2 linked regions of the Drosophila melanogaster genome follow. Changing the gene in region 2 together with the main gene of any one other region gives a genetic interaction. Each region holds a gene or a part of one and is shown on either strand. Other genes may lie near its edges.

What was found. Genes that interact genetically often act in the same process or in processes that back each other up.
Region 1: of Mps1 (region 2) and mad2, changing one suppresses a phenotype caused by changing the other (phenotypic suppression), as found in Drosophila melanogaster (one study listed by BioGRID).

The regions. Positions count from the first base shown.
Region 1 is NT_037436.4:5,810,621-5,815,484, reverse strand, and holds mad2 (mad2), read left to right. Parts: upstream 1-2,391; 5' UTR 2,392-2,470; coding exon 2,471-2,543; intron 2,544-2,623; coding exon 2,624-2,770; intron 2,771-2,831; coding exon 2,832-3,235; 3' UTR 3,236-3,350; downstream 3,351-4,864. Other genes in the region: vn (vein), read left to right, coding at 619-670; kri (krishah), read right to left, coding at 3,410-3,420, 3,567-4,099, 4,165-4,406.
Region 2 is NT_033777.3:17,668,555-17,675,229, forward strand, and holds Mps1 (monopolar spindle 1), read left to right. Parts: upstream 1-2,716; 5' UTR 2,717-2,816; coding exon 2,817-3,013; intron 3,014-3,295; coding exon 3,296-4,303; intron 4,304-4,366; coding exon 4,367-4,922; intron 4,923-4,994; coding exon 4,995-5,252; 3' UTR 5,253-5,274; downstream 5,275-6,675. Other genes in the region: CG14322 (uncharacterized protein), read left to right, coding at 1-186, 250-441, 502-573; CG7523 (uncharacterized protein), read right to left, coding at 843-1,072, 1,512-1,788, 1,851-1,983, 2,101-2,243; alt (aluminum tubes), read right to left, coding at 6,335-6,457, 6,521-6,675.

The sequences.
Region 1 (4,864 bases), on a different chromosome or scaffold from region 2:
TTTGTTTTCAGTGTTATTATTTGTAGTTTGCAAATATTAAAAACAAACCACATTCGATAACCCATTAGAATTTATGATTTTCAATTAATTTAAGTTATTACTCGTTATTAGACATTAACACTTGGCTGTAGATTTTGACAAACCAAAAAAAAAATACACCGAAAAGAACCCAATTCAAATCAAATCAAACAAACCAACAATTTCATTCTGCTCCTCGTTTTCTTTTATTTGGTGATTGTTTTTTTTTTTTTTTGTATTTTTTCTTTTAACTAATCTCCTGCGTTTCCGATTTGGGTAACTCTGTTCACTATTACTTCCTTAGTTTGTGCTCGTTTCCTCCTTAAGTGTAAACTCCACGGCAAAGTGAAATCTTGAGCTCGAATGAACCCAAAATAAAAATATATACATACATATATCAAATCACTAATTTTCAAGTAGTTCTTGCTAAAGACCTTCTCTTCAATATCCTTCTGCATGGATTTTTTCATTTGAGAGCGCAATTTTATGCTTGTAGTTGCCCCTAATTGTGGAAATGGTGTTAGCCAGCTTTTAGTTAGCAGTAAATGAAGAACTGAAAGATTAATTTTTAATTTTATTTATAATTTAATCTCTTCACAGATATTTTGTTGCAATCTACGGCCAAATACATACCTTAAATAACGACTATTAATGCATAGAATTTTGTTTCATTATTTTTATGATTTTATAAACAAAACGAAAAACAAAAAAAAAATCGAACTCCCTGCACTCCAAAAACGTGGACAATTGTAATTTTTTACGTTTATTAAAAAATTAGAGAATTTGTTGCACCAGCTGACCATGCCCAAAAACCCATCACCGTTCTCAAAGTTTGCAACTACAAAGAATACATATCCGAAAACAGAAAACAGAAAACATTTCAAAATTCGTACAATTCCCCTCGCCTAGAGTTCCTTCTTCCCGAGCGAAAAGTTCCAGATCCAGACTGACTTTAGCTACGTTTGTTCTTGTGCACGGTGACAGAATATCTTAAATGTATAAATCGGATGTATGAAAGCTGAGCAGAATTTTAAATTATTTATTTTACGAAATATATCACATACATATAACATCTAAGATCGAAGTTTGCGGTTCAAAGTTCGAGAGCAAAGCATTACCGATTCGACCCTGACTTTGACATTGTTGCGCTTTTGTTGTTGTATCATAGACAATAATTTTAAAATGATAACAAAGGTTGACGTAGCCGAGAACTTTGTAATAAATCCTGTAAATAGCTCTCGTTTTAACTAACGATAAGTTTTGTGTACATTTCAACTAAGGTAATGCAAGCCCTTCTTTAACCGTAATTTATTGTATTTAATTACACCTAAATTAAACGTAATTATAGCTATAAGCTCACACACACACACACACACACACACGAACACCCCACACAGACACCATGGAGCTACTTAATTTCGAAATACTATTTTATTTGTCCTCGTTTTTTTTGGATTTGCGCAATTTCAACACCAAAATATGTAAAATGGCAAATTAGTTTTTATTTCTTCACAATGTGTATGTTGACATCAGTTTGTATGGCTAGGCGTAAAGCAAGAAAGTGCGTAGAGATTATTTTTAGTTATTTTAAGTGGCAAATTTTTTATATATTTAATTATTGAAAGATTTATACCAAAAATACCATGTAAAGTTTAATTTTAATTTAAAACAAAACATTAAACAAACAAAAACGAAAAAAAAACAACAAAAACAAACAAAACGATGCGTAAGAAAAAACTTAATTAAAAATTTGCAAATAATTCACATTTTACAAACATCGATTGCTTTTTGATTTGGTCTGATATTCTGTTCTTGTTCACTGTGGCTTCTTGTACTTCGTTTATGATTTGCTGCTCTGCTTTTGCTGATCTTTTCTGTCAAATCAGAGGGCAGAGTAATCAAGGCTCTGACGAACCGAGCTAGGTTTTGGATAGCATAGATTAACTGGGTCCTCTATTGTTCTGGCTATATCAAAGTCTTGTCTTATTTTAGTCTCTTGGCAGGAATACGATGAACCGGATGGAACCCATTAGGCCGAACCACGCGGAATTACTTTTGCGCTCAGAAATGGATCTCATGCTTAGATTTAGTTTACACAAGGATGGCCAATAAAATTCTGAATTTGTTGCAATCAATAATTGTGTTTTGATTTTATTGCGCAAATAAATTGATGAATTTAAATATGCCGCCCTTTGGGAATTGCTTGGCAGCACTGGTCGGAGTTAGCCATCCCTGGTTCCACCATCCCTGGTCGCATAGCCAATACACACACCAAATATAGAAATATACTGAATTTAGCGAGTACATTCACCGATATTTATCGATATATTGCAGACAAACGTATCGAATGTATATCGAGCTTCTGTCATCTCTGCTAGTCAACACCTTTCAAAAATAGCGGCAATTTAGCAAATTGTTAATTTCTCTCCCACTTAAATCGACTTAAATCAACATGTCAACTGCCCAGGCGACCAAAAACTGCATCACACTCAAGGGCTCCGCTCAGATTATTGTGGAATACCTGAGTGAGTAGCAAGCTACGTCACGAAAGCGTCTGTAAGTTCGCCTGCAATGGCGTCTCTGGTTCTTTTTTTTTCCTAAATAGAGTACGGCATCAATTCGATCCTCTTCCAACGCGGAATTTACCCAGCCGAAGACTTTAACAACACGCAGCAGTATGGGCTAACCATTCTAATGTCCAAGGATCCCAAGATCAAGACCTTTCTGCAGAACGTGCTCAGCCAAACTGAAGGTTAGTGGTCTTTTGGAAAAAATTCAAGTTTATGGTGACCATTATTTGTATTCACCTATAGAATGGCTCTCGAAGAACATGATCAACAAGATCTCGATGGTCATTACGAACGCCCACACCAAGGAGGTGCTCGAGTGCTGGGACTTTAATATGCAGGCCGAGTTGGGCGATGGCGATATCAGTGATCCCACCAAGGCAACAACCACCAAGGAGCTGAGTCGCATACAGAACGAGATTCGCGACGTTATGCGGCAGATCTCGGCCACCGTGAGCTATTTGCCACTGCTCGATTGCATCTGCACCTTCGACATAATGATTCACACGCTGCAGAACACCGAATTACCGGCCAAATGGGACGAAACGGGTGCCATTGTCATACAGAATCCGCAGGCCGTCCAGCTGCGCTCCTTTTCTACAGGACTGCACAAGGTGGACACCGTGGTCAACTACAAGATGAGCACTTAAAAGGCAGTACCGCCTCATCCTAATGTTTAAATATTTATTTCGTTTCTATATTTACAATAGTGCGTAACGAACGTAACGTATTTGAGAGTTGCATTAAAAGCCAGTTGTGAAAAGCTAACAGTTGCTAAGTAGTAGTTTGGTTGGCCGCAGGGGTCGTCTATTTGTCTGTGTGTCTCAAATGCAATCTGGAGGACGAAACAGAGTGAGAGAGGGTAGCATTTGTTAGTGGAGCGCAACGCAGGAAAGGGCGTTTGTCTGGGCGACAGCTACCTATCCTAAGCAGCGCTTAGTCGTCAAGTCTGCGAGATAGACCCAAGTATCTAGTCTGTACCGAAGTATTTCTGGCCAAAGTGATTAGGTGCCACGGGATGCAGCTCGGAGGTGAGGATCTTCAGCTTGGGGAAGGCATTCACTACGGTCCGAGCGGCAATGGGTGTGCAGAAGAGATTGGACAGGATGATGCAGCTCTCGGGTACGCCGTGTTCCCGCAGCACATTCACCGCCTGCAGCACAGTGTTGCCCGTGGACATGATGGGGTACATGAGTAGCACCTGCCTGCTGCCGATGTCATCGGGAAAGCGGGCATAAACCACGCGGGCCTCATGCGTATTGGCATCGGACTCGACCAGGATCTTTCCAATGCGAATGGAGCGACAGCAGTCACGCAGTCCCTGCTCCATGGCCTCTCCCGATCGGATGATGGACACGCCGCAGTTGCCGGAGCGATACTTCAGTCCCTCGTAAATCGCACCGGTGGGCGTCTCCACATCGCAATGGGTGTAGGGCAGTTGGTTGAGCGACTCCTCGATGACCAGCCGGATGAGACGGTCGGCATAGAACTTGAAGTCACTGCGCGTGGTGTTCCTGGGGGGTAGAATTTTGTTGTACTGCTACTACGCTGCTGACTCCTCCTCCCCAACGTCACCTACTTGTCGCGCAATATGGTCAGCAGTTCGGCCACCTGGGAATTGCACTCGAGTAGCTTCAGGTTGCTGCCGTACTCCGCCAGGATCTCCTCCGATGTGGCAGCTGGCACCGCGGCATGTGCATGCGTGGGAGTGTGCAGCTGTTGCTCCTGCTCCTGGGCTTCCTGCTGCGGCTGCTGGTGATCTGAGGAACTGCTGCCCTCCTCCGACTGGGAGCCGCTGCTGCTGGGCGAGCCGGTGCGCATGACTCGGCTATTTGGTTGCTATCACTGGCTACATAAAATAAATAAATTAAAAGAATTGTACGTAGCACTTTGTCCTCCTAGCGCGTGCTTGGCTTGCTACGGCCACACTTTGTCGCGGCATTGCCGTTCGTTGCGCCTCGGTAATTTCTAGCAATTGGCAGTTAGCGCACGACTGGCCACACTCAGCAAATCACCTCGTGTTTCACTCGCAAACAAAGAAAAAAGTGCATTTTAATTACTGATTACTGCATTGCGATTAGGCGTTCGCGAACAACAACGTTTTCTTGCACATCAGCGGACTCAAAGGGCGCGCGTGGGCAAGGCATTGAGCACAGTGTCTGTGTGCGTGAGTGTGGGTGCGTTGTGCGTGCGTCGCAGTGTTGGTGCGTGTGCCCCCATGTGTGTGTGTATTTGTATTGCCATTAACTAATAAACAATAACCTTCGGGCCACGACGAA
Region 2 (6,675 bases):
GGTGTGCGGAAAATCCTTGTGCTGGGCTGCAAAGGAAACTTTGTCCAAATGCATGATGCGGGCAACGGATTGCTGCTACGTCACGTATTTATTGCAGAGGGTTTAAATATCTACAGTCTGCTTCTAGATGAAGGACACATTTATTGCGGAACGCAGAAAAACGAGTTATATCAATTGGAGTTTGTTGTAAGTGGTTAGAATATGACTTTCAGTTGGCCGAACATTGAATCCTGCTGTTTTCCGTTTTAGTCTGGAAACTTGGTCACCAAGTTCAGCTGTGGAAATGGCGCTGTTGCTGTTGCGGCCTACGGTGAGCGTTATTTGCTAGTCGGCTGCTACGACGGCTATATTTACGTCCTGAACAAGATTACCGGAACTCAAACTGGTCGTTTCGCTGGCGCTGGTCGCATGGTTTTAGCCCTTTCGGTTGTAGGCGATAAGGTAAGTTATTGTATAATATTTCCAAAGTCGGTATTCAAATGTTTTACTCCAATCTTATAGATCGTCACATCTTCGAAAGATAACTCGCTGGCGATTCTGGAGGTGCCCCCCGCATTGGTAAATGGCTATTAAGACGCGTATCATCATTGATATAAATCTGCTTTAATTTAATCATTTTTACACACAGACTTGTTTGCATAATACAATTTAATGGTCATAGTCCTTGATTGCGGATTTATAATTCGTTCTCTGTATTTACAATTGAATATTACATTTTTTGCATTTTTGCAATTGATCTACTTGAAGAATATTTCTTCGCCATGAACAAAGTATAAACGAATAAAAAGAGAACATCCAGTAAAATTATGATACGTAAAATTATATAGTTATTTGATTTGTCTTTAAGGAATTTGTGGTGCCCTCACTGGTCGCACGTTGGTCTGCATTTGATGCAGTTTCTGGTTGAGCTTGTGTGTATGGTCACGCAGATAGGCGATAAGGTCGGCCTGCTTCTCCAGAAGCTCTTCTGTGTCGCCTCCTGGTTGCATGAGGCCCAGGGAACCGCCGGCGCGGTCCGCACCACGCAAAACATCCGGAGCCAGCTTGGCGCTGTTGAACTTACGCACCTTGTCTGAAATGGGTAACGAATTTTTAGCCATGTCTATGACAACTTTTATACCTGAAATTACTTGGTTCTTAATCAAAAATCTTTCGCTTTGGAACCATAAGAAAGAACGAACTTAATTAGTGGCTGTACTGAATCACTTCAATTTTAAATACCTGGATTATTTAAGCGGCTCTGACTCATTTTTTGCGTATTACAATTGCTTGCAAGTCACTTAATCAGTTTAAAAAAAATACCTAGCCATCCCGACTACTATATTATGTCATTATATAAACTATTTGAATAAAATGTTGCCCATCGTCATTTCAATATATATACACACAGATATATTAAAAAAATGATGATAGCTCGATCTGTCATAAAATAAAATAAAAATAAAAGTCATACCATGACACTAAGTAGATTCCCTCACTATCGCTGACTAGATACTATGTTACTTCATTACCAATATATAAGCTGTGGGAAACGGCCAGCACCAGATTCTCGGCCACGGTGAAGGCGGTCACATAGCTGACCGGCGACAGCCACCCGGCGGCGCAATGTTCCCAAAAGTTCTCCGCATAGAAGTGGTGGATTAGGGCCTGGACAGCAAGCAGCATGGAGTTCCACAGGGATACCAGCTGAAGGGGAATCCCCTTCTGCATGTTAGTCTCGCGGTGAAAGTCGTGATAGCCCTGCATGCGTAGATTGTCGTGTTGCTTCTTTACGAAGTGATCGAAGAGCTGTAAAAACCGTTGACATTGAGGCAGGTCGGGATTGACAGACTGCTGATTGGTATATTTACATATGTGATGACCCAGAAGGTGGCCCGTAGGTAGAGCATTATAAAGTATGCATCGCAGCGCCGATCGGTTGGAAACGAGGCTGCAAGTACGATCCCCACAATGGAGATTGCAGTGGAGATAACCAGATGAAGGCTACGGGTGGACAGAGAATGGATTAAATTATGTGCATTATCGGTCGTTTGAAAGCTCCATGGATGATTCACTGCCGCCGGCTGAGGTCTCTCCCCCGTACACCGCATAAAATCTCACCTAAATGCGGGCACTGTATTTAGCTTGTAGCTTCCATTGTCGTTGGAGAAGAGGACGGGGTCCAGGAGCTGATCCGTGTCGTGGATGTGCGCTGGGGACACGCCCGGTTGGACAGCGGCGCCTCCAGTTGCTGGTTGCTCCATTTGCTCTGCTCTAGAATGCGTAGTTTTCGAACTATTGCTGCTTTGTTTATTTGTCGGCAGGAAAACAACACTTATTTTCCTTGGATGTGGCAGCACTGCCAAAATATTGCTTTTTTCAGGGTGGCAGCTCTGTGATGACCATGAAAAACAAGACAACCCTAAAATGTAAACAATAAACTTACTGTTAGAATTTGAATATCTAATTTATTTATTTAAGCCATTCTTACTTTTAAATCATTTTGATGTATTTTATACATCACTCTCCCTCACTCAAAGAGTGTGCTTTTATATTTGCTTGTTGTCAACACTAAATTATAATTTAGGTAGTTTTCAATATTTCTTAATTTAAAATATTAAACATTTATTTAAATCCTCATTTTCGTTTAATTATTTTAAAACTTAGCCTTCGGCTACTTAAGTTTTATTAACTATTAAAGGCTTCATTCAGCGCGCTTTGGATGTTTTAAATTTTGAACTTTGGTCACACTTGAATAAAAAATAAATTTAAACCCCGCATTTGATTTGCAATTGGATATTTAACTATTTGTCGGGCAGAATAAATCGGGTTGCAAGATGACCACGCCTGTGCCCCGCCGCACCAAGGACATGATGGCACTGGGACTGGACTCCGACTCCGAGGACGACTTTAACACGCCATACCGACCACGACAAGCGGCGGCGGGAGAACGAAAACAGCAGCCGGTGGCGTCTTTCCAAGTCCAAACGAGGGGCAAGGAGAACGAACCGCATCCCCTGCCCATAAATATGCTGTAAGAACTGGGACAGCAATGTCCAGTATCGCATGACATCTCCTGTTCTCCATACATAAGTCCTCCTGAGTCTGCAAGGATCTAATTTTCCATGAATTCTTTCAGGAATCCTAGATCTTTTCTTTCCAAATTGGTCTGTCCATCGAAACTAACCTGTATCTTCTAGGCTTAGTATATACCCTAAAAGTTAATCTATATTAACCCACAAGTCGAGGGATTTTTGTTACAAGATCACCTAGAAATGTTCATTACTTCTACATACAACGTTTTTATCGATTCTAGACCTCGCCGAGTGTCCGAGTTGACTATGATGGATTCGGACAGTGACGAGGAGGACATCAAGAGCAATCACAACCTTAACTGCGCCATCCTAAACGATTCCTTTGTGCTGAGCCCATCCCAAGAGTTAACAAACAGCAACAGCAACATAACCACTCGTAGAACACCAAGTGCCGCCCCCCTTAAGCAATCCGATTCGAATCTCTCGTTCCTGGGAAGATTCAACGACATGGGCATCAATTGCAGCAGTCAAGGATCCCCTGTTGCGAATTCGGAAAAACAGGTGGCCAAAAAGACAGCACCCACGCTTCAAGCTGCACCAAGTGCCACCGAAAGGCGCCCACTCCAAGAGACAGAGACGCCACTGCGTAATGAATTACCCTCCACCTCGAAGACGAAGCCGGATGCAGACTTCATTACCCCCCAAGTACGAACAATTGGTTCCACACTGGCGGGAAAAAGTCGGAGTGCGGTGTCCAATGACTTCCGTGCGCAGAAAGTGCTCTTCCAAACACCTATGACCGTGAGTCGTGCTGCTCCAGTGGCCTCCGATAGCATAAGCTTCTCCCTGTGCGACACCATCACAGAAAGCCCGGACATTCCGGAGCCTCCGAAAAAGGCAGAACCACCAAAGAGTCAGCATCCTTCCAAAAAGTCCCTAGATCATGTTTTCCGGGAGTCGGACAAGGATAACGTGCCAGACAAAGTGGATAATGTGGAACCAAAGGAGCTGGTATCGATTCCCGCAGTTGCTGTACCTCCAGAGCAGCCTTCCCACAAGACATCTAATATTTTAAAAATCAAGAATCATGAGTATACGATTGATAAGAAACTGGGCTGTGGCGGCTCCAGCTCTGTTTTTTTGGCACGCCGATCGGATTCCGGAAATGAGTTCGCCCTGAAGGTGGTGGATCTGCAGGCCGATCCACAAGTGGTGCAGGGATATCTAAACGAAACCAAACTTCTGGCAAAGCTACAAGGGAACGTTTGTGTTGTGGCACTTTACGATTAGTAAATATTTCTAAATACTGACTTCTTGTTAACGTCACTGTTTAAGTACTTTTTTTTCCTTAGTCAACTTGTGCGCGAGGAGTCCAAGCTGTACATGGTGATGGAGAAAGGTGACTGCGACTTGAACAAGATCCTGCAGAGCTACACCACCAACCTTCCTCTCTATAGCCTGATGAACATCCTGTACCAAATGCTGCAAGCGGTCAACTACATTCACCAACACGGTGTCATCCATTCGGATCTCAAGCCGGCAAATTTCCTGATGGTCAGCGGCAGACTGAAGTTGATCGATTTTGGCATAGCCAGCAATATCGCTGTGGACTCGACGAGCATCATCAAATTCTCGCAGGCGGGCACCTTTAACTACATTAGTCCGGAGGCGTTGACGGACACCTCCACGGGGAATAGCCCGATGCGCAGAGCCGATCAGCCGAAGATCAAGATCTCGACCAAATCGGACGTGTGGTCGCTGGGCTGCATCCTTTACCTGCTACTCTACCAAAAGACACCGTTCGGCCACATCCGAAACGTCTATGCCAAGATGAGTGCAATCACCACACCGGGCACCAGCATCGAGTATCCTGCCATTCCGCCCTACTATCCCATCATGCTGGTTCATGTGAGTGTTGCGCAATATGAGGCTTTTAGACTAACATAAGCTAACTAAAATTATAAATAAATTGAATCCAAGTTTACAACTGTCTCTGCTCTATTTGCAGATGGCCAAGAACTGCCTACAGTTGAATCCCAAAAAGCGGCCGTCGTGCACCGAACTACTACAGTACCCATTCCATATGATCATTCCGCTGCAGAACCTGCAGATACCCAGCAGAACCGCCAACAGCAATTAAGCACGAAAGCTCAGCTATTTATTAGTGAAATGTCAAAGGTCAAATGTCTTTCTCATATGTGTGTGTATATATTTAATTCTCATTTTATCGTAAATTAAACATCATAAATCCTTATAATGCTGTTATAGCTCGTTCTTTTGTTTGTTGTGGTTGCTGATGGGCTTGAATTTGTTGGTTTTCCTAATTTTTCAGTATGTCGCATGCAACAGGTTCCGACAATAGATTGCTAGTTAGCATTCGTGTTTAATTTGCGTTTACTTATAAGATAGGTTCTCATTCAGTTTTATATAAAAATAGTTGTTTTCTTGTTTATTTACGCTTAATTAAATGTTGCTGCTGCCATTTGCTCTTCCTGGGATTAAATACTTTGCGCTGCCTGGCGGCGGAAAATTAAAAGTTAACACAAAAACAGAAAACATGAATGGAAAACATACAAAATTCACAATGGCCCAAGTACAAGAGCATACGTACATTCATACTATTATTTTGTTTATTTTTTTGTGGATTTGCATTTTAAGTAGCTGGGTTTTAAATTCATTTGCTTAACATAAGATACATATACAATTGTTTAAAGCGCGTTTTTAAATGCAAGTGTAACACAAAAATAATAATCGCATGCAAAGTATGTGTTAAATAATAATTAGAAAGTAGCAGCAGCAATGGATTTTTCGCGGTTTTTCCGGGTTGGTTTGCTTTTTATTGGGAGGGCTTGGGTGGAAATTGCCTGTTTCTGTAATCAGAGTCGGACTTTTCCTTTGCTAGCATTTCTTCTCTTCTCGTTTAACATTGCACAAGTTTCGATTGTTATCATTATCTTGCTTTAGTTATGTGTATATAATTTCTTAAAGCGTTCCATAGTTCTTCATTCTCATAATTGTTGGTTCTCGCTACTATAAAATGTTAAATGTTGCTGTTGTGGGGCATGCTTTAGGTTTACTTTTTTCTCGCCTTTTTTTTTTGTTACATTAACTTTAAACTTAATAGATTGTTAGAGTTGTTTCTTTTTTACTGTTGCTGTTCTTTTGGAAGTTGGACAAACTCTGCGGTTGCTTGTCAGTTTATCGTCGTTGTTGGCCTCCTCTTCCCTTTCCGCATCTGTTTCGACATTAAATGTCCTGCAAAAAGACAAACGATATGTTTAGAAATCTAGTTATTATAGACCAGCAACACAATTCCTTACCTATTCTCCGTTTGAGGCATGCTGCTGCAGGGTTAGGATCAGCTGCTCCTTCTGCTCGACGATGCCACGCCAGTGCTCGTCCTGCTCACGAGCACGCTCTTCCAAGTCCATCAATGTGTTTGTCTGTTCGTAAGATTTTATTGTCATTGGATAGGTTATAAATTACTATAGGGCAAAAGTAATTACCGTCTTGGTGACCAGCTGGGTGAGCTTGTCGTTGCACTCCCGCAGCTGCAGGTTCTGTTTGTGCAGCTCCTGCTGCTCGGCGGCGGAGGAGGATTGGCTATTCGAACTACTATTATTGCTACTAATATTGTTGTGGGTGCTATTGTGGTTGCTAC